Drosophila melanogaster: one gene and its partners. The protein of the gene in region 1 interacts with the protein of each later gene in a biochemical or structural test. Each region holds a gene or a part of one and is shown in the gene's direction. Other genes may lie near its edges.

The links.
Region 2: the proteins of Kr (region 1) and Bin1 form a complex in vitro, tested with the Drosophila melanogaster proteins (one study listed by BioGRID).
Region 3: the proteins of Kr (region 1) and CtBP form a complex in vitro, tested with the Drosophila melanogaster proteins (one study listed by BioGRID).

What each region holds. Positions count from the first base shown.
Region 1 is NT_033778.4:25,224,960-25,231,926, forward strand, and holds Kr (kruppel), read left to right. Parts: upstream 1-1,651; 5' UTR 1,652-1,992; coding exon 1,993-2,029; intron 2,030-2,402; coding exon 2,403-3,874; 3' UTR 3,875-6,435; downstream 6,436-6,967. UniProt on the Drosophila melanogaster protein: Krueppel is a gap class segmentation protein. It is involved in the segmentation of the embryo and in the differentiation of the Malpighian tubules.
Region 2 is NT_033777.3:16,185,653-16,191,473, reverse strand, and holds Bin1 (bicoid interacting protein 1), read left to right. Parts: upstream 1-1,909; 5' UTR 1,910-2,271; exon of another isoform or gene 2,272-4,367; 5' UTR 4,368-4,696; coding exon 4,697-4,762; intron 4,763-4,835; coding exon 4,836-5,222; 3' UTR 5,223-5,318; downstream 5,319-5,821. Other genes in the region: CG8927 (uncharacterized protein), read right to left, coding at 5,360-5,585, 5,648-5,821. UniProt on the Drosophila melanogaster protein: Involved in the tethering of the SIN3 complex to core histone proteins. Interacts with bicoid (bcd) to repress transcription of bicoid target genes in the anterior tip of the embryo; a process known as retraction.
Region 3 is NT_033777.3:13,009,955-13,014,703, forward strand, and holds the start of CtBP (C-terminal binding protein), read left to right. Parts: upstream 1-1,694; 5' UTR 1,695-1,794; exon of another isoform or gene 1,795-2,218; intron 2,219-4,749. Other genes in the region: CG8031 (uncharacterized protein), read right to left, coding at 1,178-1,226; CG11656 (uncharacterized protein), read left to right, coding at 51-130, 210-1,005. UniProt on the Drosophila melanogaster protein: Corepressor targeting diverse transcription regulators. Hairy-interacting protein required for embryonic segmentation and hairy-mediated transcriptional repression.

The sequences.
Region 1 (6,967 bases):
TCGCTTTGATACTATTCTAGTTTAGTGATTGCCGACAAAGTCATTAACGATAAGGCCCGGATCTTATTAAAATCTGTTGAGCTTAAGTGGATCTTTCAATATCAAGCCTCTGCTTATCACGCAAACAACCAAAAAAAATTTCTGACTAATCGCCGAAACATAGGAATCGTATGAAGATTTTCTAAAACCGGTCAGCTCAGCCCGAAATTTAAGAATTTCTTATCAATAGGGTCAGTTTTAAGCGCTTTGCTTGCATATTATTTAATGCCTTCTGCGAATTTTGTTTTGGTGAAAAACTTTCTATGAAGTCGAACATTCGATGACAAAACCATTATAATTTTACGTAACATTATGCAGAGCAAGGATATTTGTGTGCCTTTCTGCTTTTGTTTGGTTTCACTTTCTTAAAATCCACGGTAGTTCAAATTTACCACCCGGTGAGCTCTGAGCGTCCTTGGCCTACCTACAAAACCAAAAATACCGATTTTCAACATAAATTTAACATAGCATGTCCTTGCCATAAAAATCTACATAAAACCATTTAAAAGTCAATCCGCAAAAGTCACAGAAAACGTCTATACAAGCAAGAAAATTTCAACGATGCAGCTCTCTTACAATTTTTTATTATATTTCCTTTCTACCTGAATCCGTTTTTTACTAGTTCCTTTTTACGATTTCTTTTTTAGACGTGTGCCAATAATTAGTTGTCCATTAAACTGAACTTCCACGTCTTTGAGACTTTGCTCAACAGGCTACAAGGAAGACAAAAAACTCACTCAGTATAGCTGGTAAAAAACCGTCGACCTTCTTTCTTACTTTCTGCACTCCTTAAGCCGATGTTTTGTTTACTTCCTGTTTACTCGTACAGCGCACGCTTGAAATTCAACCCCGTCCGTGACATCTCTTTTCATGAATTTTGGCTCTTTTGCTCTCGCTGTTTCATTTTCGCCCTGTTCTCCATTGGCGTTCATCCCCCTTAGACACATTAGTTATTTTCTATAGCTCAAATGTAAAAAGGGGAAATGACAAAGGCACATCTGAGTGAGTTTTTGTTGTGCGTCCCTTACTAACTCTAAAAACTTCTACGTGATCTTTATGTGGTGTAATATTCCTGCAAGTGCAGTTTTTATGAAGGCTCTAAAAAACACAAGCGGAAGTGGTCATAAGCATTAAAAAATGTCCTTTAACGGTCAACACATAGTTCTGATTTTTTATGTTTTATTACTGACTAGAAACGTAAAGGTCATAAAACCCTCTACTCAGCGAAGATAATTCGCATCGACAACCTATGTTAAAAAACCACATCGTCCATATTTGACTCTAACTGACTATATATCTTTTGCATTGAAAGGAACCTCTAGCTGTCTCATTCGCACCAATTTGCATATGAAAAATTAGCACTTTTAGGTATAAAAAGGAATCGATGAAATCAACTCACTCAACTCAGCGAAGTACCCAGTTTTTACTTTACCTGCTCAGGCTTGGGGATCGTTTTTCGCTTTCGCCGTGATGATTTCCCTTCCTGTCTGCACCCTTATTTGCGTGCGTGTGAGCGGGAGAGCCAATTGAGTCCCGGCGTGTGTGCGTACGAGGGTGAGTGAGAATCTTTCGCCGAGACAGAGCGTACTTATAGTTAGCTCACGCAGCGAATTTGTATCAGTCGTGATTTGGCTCTGTCAGCGAAAGGAACAACCATTTGTTGTGCCACACACAACCGCGAGTAATATAATCGAATCAAATTTCAACTACCTCATTTTGCTAAATCGGTAAACTTTTATAAAAGACAATTTTTGTGAAATCTCTCTACCTCAAAGTACAAAAGTGTGTACAAAAATTATTCATATCCCTGAAAGTGCACAAATTGCTCAAATGAAATTTTGTTGTCTAAAAAACTGAAGCTCCAAAACCACGAAGGCGAATATTATAGGTGTTTTCTGTGTGCGGGAAAACATTGCGCGAGCACAAAATTAGGAGCACAAGAAGAATTTGTTGATGTCCATATCAATGCTTCAAGACGCACAAACGCGAAGTAAGTATTAGACCAAATTAAAATATTCCCCAAGTTTGTAAACTATCTAGAAGTTCTAGAGTCCCCGATCACTTTCTCATTATTAAACAGTCCGATGTCTTTAGGATAGAAAATACAAATGTAATGTAATTGCACACATACCGATTAGTTAGAATTTGTTTACATGTTTGGACAGGAACCGGCACTTAACTCGTTATCGACCAAAACAAAAACTAGTTAGACGAAAATAGAGAGCTGCGAAAACACTAAGAGTTCTCTCCGTACGAAACTTTCTCTCACACATGTATCATATGTAAAATTTTTTTCTCTTTTAAGCCGTTGCTCTTAAGACATTTCCAAATGAAAACATACTAACTTATGATTTTTTTTTTAGCCTTAGCTGCTGCATTAGCTGGCATAAAACAAGAGGACGTTCATCTAGACCGTTCCATGTCGCTATCGCCCCCCATGTCGGCCAACACATCAGCTACAAGCGCCGCTGCGATTTATCCAGCTATGGGTCTCCAACAGGCGGCCGCTGCCTCAGCTTTTGGAATGCTCTCACCTACCCAACTTCTGGCTGCAAACCGTCAAGCTGCCGCATTCATGGCCCAACTGCCCATGAGCACATTGGCCAACACTCTCTTTCCACACAATCCGGCGGCTTTGTTTGGGGCTTGGGCTGCCCAACAGTCGCTCCCGCCCCAGGGTACGCATTTACATTCGCCGCCAGCCAGCCCGCACTCGCCGCTGTCCACTCCTTTAGGTAGTGGCAAGCACCCATTAAATTCCCCCAACAGCACTCCCCAGCACCATGAGCCAGCGAAGAAGGCTCGAAAGTTATCGGTTAAGAAGGAGTTTCAGACCGAGATCAGCATGAGTGTAAACGATATGTACCATACATCGGGAGGCCCAATATCTCCGCCTTCCAGTGGCAGCTCTCCTAATTCAACGCACGACGGAGCGGGTGGAAATGCTGGATGTGTCGGTGTCTCCAAGGATCCATCTCGCGACAAAAGCTTCACCTGTAAAATCTGCTCACGCAGCTTTGGCTATAAGCACGTGCTTCAGAACCACGAACGCACCCACACCGGTGAGAAGCCTTTCGAATGTCCGGAGTGCCACAAGCGGTTTACTCGTGACCATCACTTAAAAACCCACATGCGTTTGCATACTGGAGAAAAACCATATCATTGCTCGCACTGCGATCGTCAATTCGTTCAGGTGGCCAATCTTAGACGACATTTGCGAGTCCACACTGGAGAGCGTCCCTATACTTGTGAAATCTGCGATGGCAAATTCAGTGACTCCAATCAGCTTAAGTCCCACATGCTGGTACACAACGGTGAAAAGCCGTTCGAGTGCGAACGGTGTCACATGAAGTTCCGACGGCGCCACCATCTGATGAATCACAAGTGTGGCATCCAGTCGCCGCCTACTCCCGCGCTTTCACCGGCCATGAGTGGAGATTACCCCGTGGCAATCTCCGCAATTGCTATCGAGGCATCCACGAATAGATTTGCGGCAATGTGTGCCACCTACGGAGGTTCGAATGAGTCGGTCGACATGGAAAAAGCGACACCGGAGGACGATGGTCCATTGGATTTGTCTGAAGATGGAGCCAGCTCTGTGGATGGCCATTGCAGCAACATCGCACGGCGCAAGGCACAGGACATTCGTCGGGTTTTCCGGCTGCCTCCACCGCAAATCCCTCACGTACCCAGTGATATGCCTGAGCAAACCGAGCCAGAGGATTTGAGCATGCACTCTCCTCGCTCTATCGGATCTCACGAGCAAACCGATGATATTGACTTGTATGATTTAGATGATGCCCCGGCTTCTTATATGGGCCATCAACAACATTAGGCCAGTACCACACCGAATTGTACATAGCCCTAATCAGTTTTCATTTGATGAAATTGACTGGCATTTATTAACACAAAATTGAAAATTTTGCTATTTCAAAGTGGAAAGTAAAAATTGTTGCAACAGGAATATAATGATAAGTACAAGTTTAAAAAAAAATAACATACAAAAAAGTCGAAATTGTACAAAGTAAGCCATACCGTATGCTTGTTACCGCCAAACCCCACCAAATCAAATCGAAAATGTCGTGCCATTCTTTACCTTAAATTTAAGTTATATTCTTAGGTTCGGAATCTTAAATTGTACATATTCAGCTTACACAGCTGCCAATTGTAAAGTAATCGGCGCTCTAAACATGCATTGTTGCAGAAAAATAAAAGACACGAAGTTTAATTAGGAAATCTATAACTAATTTTATTTAATTTATTAGCTTAATTTTTTATAATTTAATCAAATTCTTTAAGAAAACAATGCCAATAATCTTCAAATCAAAACTAACTTTAAGTTAAATAATAAAAAACATTTGTTTGATAATTGTTCTGTTTGCATTCTCTATTTAAAACTATTATTAAATATAAAAATTTAGTTAATCCTGTTTTTTTAAAGATCATTCTTAAATGTACACTTTTATATTTATACTTCAATAAATATTTGGTTTAATTGTTGCTGCTTCAAATATAAACAATAAAGAAAAAAGAAAATCAATGGTAACGTTAATATTTAACTGATTCCGCTTTTATTTCATATTGCCATAACTTAAACACAGTTTACGCATCCATTTTTGAAAATCTTTTTTTTTTTGTTGCAAACTATAAGAAACGTTAATATATATTCCAAAATAATAACCTAATGTAGATCAATGCGTATCGAAAGTATAGTAATCCCACTTATCTTAACACTCGTAACTATTAGTTTTAATTGTAAGACTTGAACCAAATACACAGGAAGAAATTGCTATAACCAAATACCTCCAATACCTCTGTATCGAAATTGTTGTGAGCTAAACAGTATATACATTCAACAATTTGGCAATCGTACAATTCAACTGAATTTATATACAAGACTTAGGAATATAAACTACGAAGCATAAACAATTTATATGTATTAAAATTTTGATGCATATTTAAATGGACCTAAAATAAGAAATTAATTTTAAATACTAGGCCAATTCAAATTACATATAAAAGTATATAAGGTTGTATATAACAATAACAATTTGAAATAAATTTAGTGCAATTTTTCGTTCTATTCATTGGTAAGCTTACTGCTTTTATTTTAAAACGTTGTAGTCATAATAATGTAACAAATTAATATGTAATTTTCTTTGTTCATTCAAATGTATGGTATACAAGTTCCTCAAGATTAAAAGAATACAAGAGCTATAAACTAAAATAGAGAGTGCATTTCTAATCATTTGAAAGTCAGCGCACGAAAGACATCATATTAATTGTGTACAGCAACATTCGACGTTTAACCCAATAGATATAATTAAATTTATAAAATCACAAGTCAATTTTTATGTAAATAAATTATAATCCTAATTGTGGCTAGGGATGTGCAATGTATCAAAAAATAAGAGTTATATGTGTTAATTAGGGGGTTGCTAATTTTAACCCTTTAAAGACATACACACATACACCTTGTAAAATACGTCAGTAAATATAAACTAGAAAATGTATTTTATGGTACATGATTGCATTAGATATGTCAGTCTAGCATATAGTAAACGAAACTGTTACTTTTTGTCATAACTATTTCTTCTCTAATTTAATGTTCTACCTATATCAATAATAAATACATATGTATACATCGGCAAATATGTATTTATTACATAAAAATCGAAATATATTATGTTAAATTTAAAAATTGCTGTCTGGGAAACCAAAAATAAATGAATATAAATATATATATGTATATATATGTATATACATATGAGATAATTGTGTAAAGCAAAAAATATTCGTAGCAACCCCGCTTTAGAAAATTACCCACAGCTTTCTTCGATTTTTCGTAAAAGAGAAAACGGGCAGCATTACATAAATTTTTAATTTATGCAAACGAAGCCCTTTCGCATTATTTTACATTTGCCACAAGACGCCCCACTAATGCCGTCGCCACGTTCCTCCCCACGTCACCCCCTTTATTCATCCATCCCTTCACTGGAATTTAAATTTACGTCTGCAGGCAACGGCAGCAGCTGAGCAAAAACGAATATAAAAATCGCGCCGCGCAGTCAGAAAATGTCACAGTGTTTTTTCCATTTAATCTCCAGAGAGAGAGAGCAAACATCTACAATGCTATGAAAGAAAGTCGACGCCACCCACTCATACCAATCGCCTCCCGTTCAGCCATGCCGCGGAACTGACGCCTTCTCTTCTTTGTGCCCCTTTCAACAGCCAAAAAAGGCTTCATCCTGGCAGCCCCCTCTATATAAAATTGTATGTACAAGTATTACATAAAGAACGTCTTATGTACTTACACACGTACATATATAAAACGGAGTAAAAGAGTGAGACGCAGGACAAATGCTCACGTTTTGTGATGCTTATTAGCATTTTAGGCTTTTTTCGCTTAGACTTCTGTAAACATACTCTATGAGCGTATACGTAAATAAAAACAATTCAATAATTAAAAAGTTAAACGTAATGTTAGCCAAATAAACCTTATGCTAAAACTGTTTACCCTAATTTTACCAATAAAAGCTTATTATAAATAAGTTAAAAGAAGAAACGGGAATAAACTGGTAATTGCCAGTTTTATAGTGTAGATAGGTACGTATATCTTATTCGAACCCCCAATCCTCACCCTCAAAAGCTTTTTTTTTAGCTGCCGAGTAAATAGTTTGGTGTTGGACATAGAAAACTTTCAAATGAGTTTACGATTTTTTTAAATATTTCGTGTTCCGCAAAGGAATGAAAAATAAAAGGCCTTGAAAATGAATTTAAGGCCTTCGCTGGCAAAGAACCGCCGACGCACCCAACTTACTGTCGTTATTATTTAAACTGAAAAATTATAATTTTTACCAGCAGACTTCTGCTCACAAATTCTAAGACTGGCGCTTATCCAAGAAAGACATTATTATAAGCTCCCTAA
Region 2 (5,821 bases), on another chromosome or scaffold:
CTTTTACAAATTGGATTGTTATCACTCAAAGTCCTTGGGCGATTCCGAGGAGTTTTCACTTGCCTCAGACTCAAACTGATTCGACCAGCCCCTTTGTTGTCGACTGTCACTCGCAACTGTGCGGCTCCAAGTGCAAATGTATCTGTGTATCTGTAGGTTTCTGTGTGCGCCCGTCTTGTCAGCGCTTTGACATGAAAATAGTTTGGGCCAACTTGGCTATGCAAAAGCGATTTCTATTAGGAGCCGCCATCGCCGACATGTGCTGCCGAAATTCGGTGATTTGGGTAGGATGAAGAGATTACCAAAAGTTTACAGTGGTTCTTGCTTCCAAGCAAGGAAGGAATTAAAATCCTGTTCAGCAAATATTCCAATAAATCGCTTTTAAGCAAGTGTTATCAGCAGTTCAATGTTGAGTTCAACCGGTTGAAACCCGCTGGTTATCGTAAATCATGGCCACGGTAGTTCCCTCGATTCGCTTCTTATCGCGACGACAGTCCCCACTGACGCACCAAATGGACGTATTTAGACTCCATAGATAACATTTGGCTATTGTTACTATGGTTAATTGAGACATTTACAACTCAAGTATACCTCAAGTCAAGCAGAACATACGTATGCGCGCATATACAGTCGAATGGAATCGACGTCGCTGCCAATCAGGCCGATGTGTTAAGTGAGTTAGGGGCACTTTTGCTTTTGGGACGTGACGTCAGTGCAAACTGCAGCTAGATCCAGTCAAGCCAATTGACGAAAGAGCCGACGGCAGCGGTCTGTACGTATTCAATTCATCAATTGGCAAAACCCTGGCAAAAAGGCAAGAAGATGGAAAACAAAACAAAAGCGAACGCAAACAGAAATAGCATAAAATGGACAACAGACGCGACAACACAGGCACCAATCGTAGGGGCAAAAATTATGAGTTGCTTTTATTTTAAAATCGTTTCATTTATTTTGCGTCAGCAGCGCCTCTCAATGAGGAAACGCTGCGTATACATAATTTTCTGGCCACATATACGCACTCCCATATCTTTCTCCCATCGATTCAGTGGTCGTTCGCAATCAAAGGCACAGACGAGTGATCTTTCCTTGGCCTTTTGCAGTCTCTTAAAGACGGGTTGTTTTCGAGTGTTTTTTGCAGCAGAATGGTAATCAGAATGCTCTCGGCAATTCTTTATTGAACGACCGTTCAATAAATTTCACAAAAGGAAATGTTATCAGCGGGTATTCTTAAAATAACTCAATCTTTAACAACTTATATTTGGAATCAATCACATCAACCCGTAATCAGATAACTGATAACATTTTAGAGGAAATAGTTTGTACCGGCACATTAACAAGTTAATGGTTTTGTTATTCGCCTTATCGTGAAATACTGTAAATAAATTTTTTAATTGCTTTTCGAAAGTAGTTGTTTACAACTTAATTTATCAGAGTGTTTTTGTTCTCCGCTCAGAATTAATCACGAAGTGGGGTGGTAATCCAGATTAACATAAGAAAAAAACAATTTTAAAATATAATATTAAGTCGCCATTATGCATGAGTAACAACTAACAAATTGCTATAAATAATAGGAGATAATCTTGAATACTGCTAGAAAGTGTAATACAATGTAAGGCAATTAAATGTGCAATAAAATCAATGTTATTATCAGCATGATTGTATATGTCGGAGCGCGACTCTTCGCATTCCAGAAATTCCTTCTGTGATTTCATATTCTGATGAAATTGTAATATTGCGGTAAAATTCTGTCGAGCGCTGCGGCAGAGGCACGAACAGCCTCTGCAGCTGAGTGAGGTCCGATCGAGTGGTCATAAATAGTGTGTTAGAGAGAGATGACAATGTGGCACACGCCAGTGTGTATAGCCATTAGAGAATATGATGAAGAAGGGACATGTAAGAAGATCCCTTCAGTGAAGTTTGACTGCTGACGTCGATCGGAACTTGCTGCGCTGACGTACAAAATCGCGAAGTGAATAAATAATATGGATGAGACTCCTGTTTCGCCGACATATACAATAGTGCTCAAGACCCTAATGGAATTATACGTTAATAACCAGCCACATTTCTTAGATATTTCTAATATGAGCCATCTGCTGCAGGTTCTTTCCAATATCTAATTCTAGATCTTCTTCGAATACGACCTTTTTGGCCATGAAACGATGATTTGCCACTTCATTCACAAGCATTAATTTGTCATGATTCTCTTAAGCGTGCACTTTATCTGAAAGTCTGAACAGCTGGCTGCGAAATGGATTCCCCGGATTGGAAATGGCAAGTAAATCTGTCCTCGCTACAAACAAGTGGGCACCACTGGGCATTCGGGGAATAGGGATATGGGTAGGAATGGGGATATATTGTGGCATTGGCGAAAGGTCGCTATGCAAAGCCAAGGTCGAGACTTACACCCAGGACATTGTGTTGTGCGGCTGGCAGTAGAAACGCCCACGCACACGCCCCTGTCAACTGGCCGGGTAAAAAATAGAATCAAATACATATGTATACAGAACAGGAGTTGAAGCAAAGCTCGCATTTTATTTGCATTTGTGAATTTATTGCTTTCGGTTACGTCTGCTTCGCCTTGCCACTTTTCCAAACTCGTTGTGCTGCTGCTTGGGGAATTTTCGGAAATTCGAAGTGATTGGGTTTGGAGCAGTAGCCAAGGGCTTCTACTGTTGCTCAAAGCAATTAATATTTGAGAAAAAATAACGAAAACGAAGTAAGGCGGCAGCAACAAAGCGACCGCAACAGTGGCAACAAATCGCCCCACACCGCACGTCTTCAGTTTACAACCAAGGACTTGGCACGTTTAAAATTCAGCCAGCAGCCGCAGCAACGAACACGGACAGTGGGCGGAATTTAATTTCGAAAAACATATTACTTTATTGTTCACATCTTTACCCACCTTCCGATTCGAGTACATACGATTCCACTGAAGCCACTGAAGACTTACTTCACTTAAAGTACATTTTCTTCAACTTCGTGGGGTCTTTCTAGAACTTAAGACTTATTCTAACTTAAAAAGACTATAAAGTTTTTAAACATTCCGTTGTTTTGTCAAATTTGAATAATTTACGAATGTGAATTTGTCGCAGAAGTATTGCTGAGTATTATCTTTATAAATTTTTCATTTTTTAAAGTGACTAAAGAAACAGCTTTAATGCGTCTTACTTCATATTGGTCATCCCGACCACAGTGCACTGGTTACCAAAGTATGCGATAACAATAACATCGTCCACTATGTGGTCGTTGCTGGGGTTACGGGCAGTCAGTCACGGTCACGGCTGCAACCCCTCCGCTCCGGCCAAAACGAGTCCACAGAACAATGGCCAAGGACGAAGGGGGGGGAGGGGGGATTCAATAACAACAGCAGGAACAACAAACATTCTGCTCCCACGCAAGAGCAGCAGGAACTGTGGCAAAAACAGCTGCTGCAGGATCAACGAGGTGGGAGTGGATTCGAGGACTTTAAAACACGAGCCAACTAAAAATATTCAGACACGCCGAAGCGAAAATACCCTTTAGCAGGGGGTTAATTCAAGTGGGGTATTTTCCCCTTCTAGTGTTTTTCTTTTACCAGGGTAATCACAGATTCTGTTTCTGTGCACTTAAACGGGGTTTATTCCGTTTCTAAAAATATCAAATGTCTGGATTGACTTATTTCTTGGTATTTGACTAAAAATAAAAACAAATATGCAGCTTTTGGGAAACTGATTCCTTGTTGACACAATAGAAACCACCATATGACCACACCTTCCACGCTACTGCAATAACTAGAACATTTAGAACAACAAACAGAATGGCACTATTATCGGCAAATGATGGCGCATGCATAAAAATGAGGAGATCGAAAGTGGGTGGCTGGGGATGGGATAACCTTGTACTTCTTGAGATAAAAACAGTTCAGTATTTAGCAGCGGCTTATTCCTGAATGTTTATAAACAAATCGAGCGAGAGAGCGATGCATAAATGAAATATGAGGGGGGGTGAAGGGTGGTTGCAAAGAGGGTGACTTTTCGCAGACGCTGCGGCACCAACACAAGCAAAGCAACGGCAACAATTTGCACGTAAAACTCAGCTGCTGCTGCTGCTGCTGTTGCCGTTACATAAGAAACTCTTGCAAAAAGTGCAAATCTCAATTCGGTATGCAAATGGACCGCTGCCACAATGTACTCACCGTTTTTAGAAACTATTCAGTGGCCAAATTGCGATTCTGCTTTTATGCGCCAATAACAAACGGCTCTTCTCCACCGTTGTTGTTGCTCTCCTCCTTGTTGTTGTGGTCGCAGCTACTGCTTAGCGAAGCAGTTGTTATTGTTGTTGCGGCAACAGTAATTTGCAAGTGCACCGCTATTGTTGAATGTTTTTAGACGATTGTCATGCCAGTGGAAGCTTCCAGTCTGCGTCATTCGCGGAGACGCGTAGTTTCACGTTCGACGACACAACCGCTCACAGCGAATTTTGTTTTCGGACTAGAGCTGAGAAACGGCGAATTTTGGTGCTTCTGGAAACATCGATTAAACTAAAACCCGATAAGTATGCGACAAGCGGTCACACTCGGCGATGTGCGATAGGATTGCTGCATTCGATTATATAGTTATCGAAAAGAGCAAAGAGAAGCCGGAATATACGGCATTAAAAGTGCATTTTGTATTAAAATTAAGAAAATTAGTAACGATATACCGCAGAATAGGGAGACATGGCCAACGTGGAATCTATGATTGTGGAGGAAAAGACGCAGGTCAAGCAGATTGACCGCGAGAAGGTTTGTTTGTGACCCCGGTCATGTTTACTTCGCGTTTGCTCTAGATGTGTTAATAAGTTTATGTATTTTCCAGACCTGTCCTATGCTGCTCCGTGTCTTCTGCTCTACGGGACGACACCACTCCGTGTCGGAGTATATGTTCGGCAACGTGCCCACCAACGAGCTTCAGATTTACACCTGGCAAGACGCCACCCTGCACGAACTGACCTCTCTGGTGCGAGACGTCAATCCGGACACCCGGAAGAAGGGCACCTACTTTGACTTTGCTGTCGTGTACCCCAACTTCCGGAGTAATCACTTCCAGATGCGCGAAATCGGAGTGACCTGCACGGGTCAAAAAGGAATCGATGATAATAAGACACTTGCTCAGGCCAAATTCAGCATTGGAGACTTTCTGGACATCTCGATTACTCCGCCCAACCGACTGCCGCCAACCGCCAGGCGCCAGCGTCCGTACTGATTCTTCACTTTCATCTATTCTAATCATTTTAATCTTTCACTTGACACTCAATGGAGTATGAACATAATTATAAGTGGAATACAAGTAAGACGAACTACGAGCTGCTTGACTTAAGGGACTATATGTTGTGGGGAGTATCAGTTCCTGTAAAAGCCGTTCGGGCGCTTCGACTTCTTCTTGCCCAACTGCGTCATGTCGATCTCCAGACCATTGGGCAGCACGGCGCGATTCTCTTCGTAGTTGACGAACCCGTTCTCTTGTAGCTCTTCCTCGTTGTTGCGGTTGTTAGGATCGCACTTGATTCCAGTCTCATAGTGGTACTCACGTTTGTTGCCATCTGGATCAACGTAGCCATAGGTTCCCCTGGTGAACGAGAAGTTTGGGTAAGTGGGAGAAAGAGGTTGGATTCAATCTGTTTTACTCACTTGGTGATGCAATCGGTGCCGATCAGCTCCTCCTTGAAAGATCCGTCGTCGTTCTCATAGCCCCATGTGATGCTTCCGTCCTCGTTTTCCTCACGCCACTTGCGAATGGTCTGGGAAACGGGCTGACGGCGACGCTGCTGCTGCTGGTCAACGTGATCGTCCTGTAGCTGATTT
Region 3 (4,749 bases), on another chromosome or scaffold:
CGATATAAAGTTATTAAATATTGATTTAAATTTTAGTTGAACATTCCGCGATGGAAACTGATAAGGAAAAACAAAGCGATGAGCTCATGAATCGCATTCGGAACGAGCTTACAGCTATATTATCTCAAGAGTAAGTTATCAAGTTACCCAATATATATATATATATATAAAAGAAGAAAAAAATCAATCCATTTATAATCCTACAACAGGGCTGCTGATGATTCCGACAAGGAGGCGTCACAGGAACTGCTCCTGAGTCCCAATCCGCTGCCCATTTTCGGGCCCATAAGGAAAACAAGGAAAGCAAAATCGAGGAGTTCCAAGAAGAACAATAGTAAGGCCTCCTCCTCGTCCGCTGGCAGTACAAAGAGTTCGTCGTCGGGTACCAGATCATCTGAAGATCGTTTAACTGGAGGTGGAGCCCAGGAGAAGCCATCGGATCCGGTCTCCACATCCTCGAGCTATTCGCTAAGATCAGGATATGACGCTCCGCCCGTGGAGGCCAGTGCCCGTGCCGACTTCCTTGAATCGCAAGCGGCCAAAAGCATCGACGAAGATGTCCGGAAGATGCAGCTGGAGCTCAAGCAGAGCTACGAACTCTTCCAGGGCATTGGCGAGAAATTGGAGTCGGTTAGCTTCACGGGCTTGAAGGACCGCATACGGGACCTGCACCTAAACGAATCCAACAACGAGTTGGGCAAAGCGACGACTGCAGAGCTTCAGATGATGTTCGACCAGCGTTTCCTGCAAAATCGCCTGGACAAGCTATCCACGGACGCCACGCAGGGATTCCGTCGGCATCCCGGCGAATTCGGCGACATACCCGAGCTGAGCACCTTCTTCCAGGCATGCACTCAGTTGGAACGCGGACTGGATGCACTGCGTCAGCAGCGGCGGCGCAACAGCGAGCTGGAGAAGCGTCTGTGCTGGGCCACCGAAATCGCATACGATCGCATGGACGAGATTCGCAATGCGGTTGGCTCGGATCCGGAAAAGAACTTCTGAATTGGTGACCTGTAGTTACATTTTTGGTTCACCCTAAGGTTCATTACCCGCACACAAACACACACACAGGCAAACACGCACAGGTGCAATACATATGCGTTTATCCCACACCCATAGGCGATGCAATAATTGATTGTGTTATCTTCTGGGCCGCAGCTGGGTTGTTACTCACCCGAGTCCGTGTACCAGCTGCCTGCATGGGTTGCTCTTCTGGCCGACATTTTGTGCGAGATCCCTAATCGGTCTGTTTAGTTAGTAAGAGCTATTAACTGGCCGTTACTTGTAGAAAAAACGAGTTCTTTGTTATTGGTACAGCAGTGTGACCGTCGTCTTGTTTTTGAAATAAACACGTTCTCTGGATTCGCTGATCAGCGGTCACACTTCTTCAGGGCTGCATTAAGTACTTAAATATCGTTTTTTTTTTGGTATAATCATATATACCATTAATACTTTTTTATTATTCTAAATAATAAATCACACAAATAAAATACAATACATAAGGTAACGTAATTTTATTTAAGTGTTGTTTTTTATTAATTTCCATAAATGAAATCGCATAACATATACAACTGAAACTCACGGAAGTCGAAAGTCGGAATTCTGCAATACCAACATTTCAAACTATACCATAATTCTTGCAGTTTGCCTGCGCGCACCGAGGTATTTTCGAACGACCCGTGTGCGGTCACACTGTTCGCATAGCGTCATTGCTGTACTAAAACCTAAAAATCCGCCGTGTTCGTATTCCGCCATTTTGAAAGCTGCGAGTGGAATTTGGACGCGTTGCTGGTAAATTAATTGTGGGAAAACTGCCCAAAAAGTGCATAAAATTTGTGAAAAGTGGTCGGCAACGGTGCATGAGACCCGCCGCCAAGTGTTTGTCCCCGAAAATTGTGTGTGGCCGCGTTTTTGGCACGTGAATTTCTTGCCCAATTGTGAACTCGCAAAAAAAGAAAAAGAAAAGAGAGAAGAAAACCGACGCCGCCGTCGCCGCCGCCACAAAGGAATAGGCGAATAAGCGAGAGAAAAAAAGGCGAAAACGAGAGCTGAAAATCAAATTGTGCGCCGCTGATTGCGTTTCAGCTATTTAATAATACCACAATCGAAAATCCGCGGCAGCGGCGATTTTTCCACGGATTACTACACCATATATTTCCCATTTGCCTTTCCGTTTGCAACGAGTGTGCGCCTGTGCCTGTGTGCGTGCGTGTGTGTGAGTGTGCGATAAACGTGTACAAGAAAAATTTAAACGTGCAGAATTCTGATGAATTTTAAAGCGGAACTGCTATTGCCTGTATAGGTGATGCGGGTGTGCGTGTGTGGGTACGCACACACACATGACCAAGTATTGTTGCGGTTTAATGCAAAAGTCGAGTGAGTGCGTGTGTGAGTGAGTGAGAGAGAGAGAGAGAGAGCAATGCCTGCCATATTCTATGCAAAACATAAATAAAATTGTGCAATAATTTCCCCGCACACGCACACAGCCACAGATACATACACTCTCTTTGTAATTTATATTTTTTTCCGCCCGCCTAGTGACAATACACACGCAAGGTTCACTGCGCAACGTCCCCCTTTTCTCAAGCACCCCCCTTTTGCCCACGCCACTGCAACATGCTGTCTCATCGTTGTTGTTTTGCCGCCGCCACATTTGGTGCGACAGAGAGAGAAAGAGCGAGCTAGCGCGAGTGCAAGAGAAAGGGTGGGAGGGAGAGGCCAAAAGCAACGAGTTTGAAAACCAACTAAAGCCTCATGTTGACACATTTCAACCGGGAGTTTTCGTTCTTTCGCTCGGATTAAAAGCCTTTAAAGGGTGAAAGTGCTGCTTATCGTTTCTTCTTCGCGAACTAAAGCTTTAAAAGTATAAATAGCTTTTATTTCCTGCGCCCGCATATTGATTGCAAATTACAAGCGCACACACTTACTCAACAACCGTTGCGATTGTTTGTTTGTGTGTGTTTATGCCGATTTGAATACACAACCAAGTGAAAAAGTTTGATCAACTTACGAATGTCCATTCAAATTGATGCTTGTTTCTAGTTTTCTTACAATTTTTGCGCTTGTCGTGTTTTTGTCATAGCTTCTTCTATCTCTATCGCTCTCTCTCTTCTCTCTTGTTCGTTCGCCCTTTCACTGTTCGACGTGCCTGTACCCATCACACACATACAAACGTATACGTCATACACACACACACACGCACACATGAAGAGGCAGACAGACAAGCAACTCTGGGCTCCCCCCTCCCTAAACCTCTCCCCTCCCAGCCACATACTGCCGCACTTGCAACGGGAATGTTGTTGGTATTGCTCGCAGTGCTCAAAACTCCGAAGAGGATTACAAATGGTGTTTTTGTTTTTGCCCAAAAACGGAAATACAGACAAACTTCTGCCACATAAAGAGTTCAAATTATAGCGACTGTTAGTTGTTTAGTCATTTGTTGTATTCCCCGCAACTTTTTGCGCACTTTTGGGGTATCTAGACTGATTACAAACCCTTAAAAGCAGCAGGCACAATTGAAATTATTGATTGCCTTAAAGTTAAAGTTAATTGCGGTTATGAAATTTTTGGCTAATTGTTCGTCATTGGGCAAAAATGAAATGCTGAGGAATTTGCTTTATAAAAACACTTAAATTTATAGTTATTAGCCACTGAATTTGTATTGCAGTCGTTAAGAATTCTTCCTACCCAATGTAGTTTTCGCTATAGAATAAATAGAAATATGGAAATATGTGGCAGAGAGAGCCGCTTTTCCCGTTTCCACTTCAATATTTGCATTGCCATGGAATTTTCTATATATATAGTCCATCGATAACTGTACATGTTGCTGAATTTGTTGTTACTAGTTTTTTTGGCGCAACAACGTTTTCCGCTTCTTGTCACTGCCCTTTTTTGGCAAATAATAAATTTGATTGTGTATGGGCTGCCCACTCCCACTAGCTAACGGTTATTTATTGTCAATGCCAGGCGATGCCGCCCACTGCCACGCCTCGTACGACCCCCCCCCCCAATCCGTTTGATGCTCTGTGTTTTTGCGCAATGTTTGTTGTTGTGTGTTTGCCGCCGACTGCGCGCGTGAAAAAATGCACACCTGCCCAAAGAATTTCACACTTGGTGGTGCACGGGGCGCAAAACAAAGCGAAAGCAGCCACCAAAATAGCAGGCAAACGTTTAAATTTAAACACAAAAGTCCGAGGAACTAAAATTCGACCAGAAACACAATGGCAGCCATGTGTGCCTCATATTCTTGTATTTTTTTTCTGCGCTCTATCTCTATCGATCTGAAAGGCAAATACAACGCAATTCGGTTGATGGTACAGGCTCTAATACCCTTAAAGCTAAATTGTCCAAGTTATAAATTTGTTGAAAATGAATGATAGTTTACAAATTCGGATGTCTTTCATCTATTCAGCGGTGGAAAGATGTATTTTGGCCAGCTAATCGTTGCATGTTTGATGGCAAACCTTTCGCCATATCTGCTATACTCCTGCGCAAGCACTTTTCAAATGAAAACAGAAAACACACACTTTCAGATGGCTCAGCCAAATTCGTCCAAAACAACAGATGCAGCGATATGGCAACAATAATAAATAGAAATAGCCAAGCAGCCGCAAAACGCAGAATCAGCAATTCGTAAGCGTGCGAGGCAATAATATATACATATATATATATATATAAATTGTATTTCATTTGATTTTTTCCCACTTCTGGTCACTTGCCACTCGGCTATGCTGGCTTGCAGTTTTT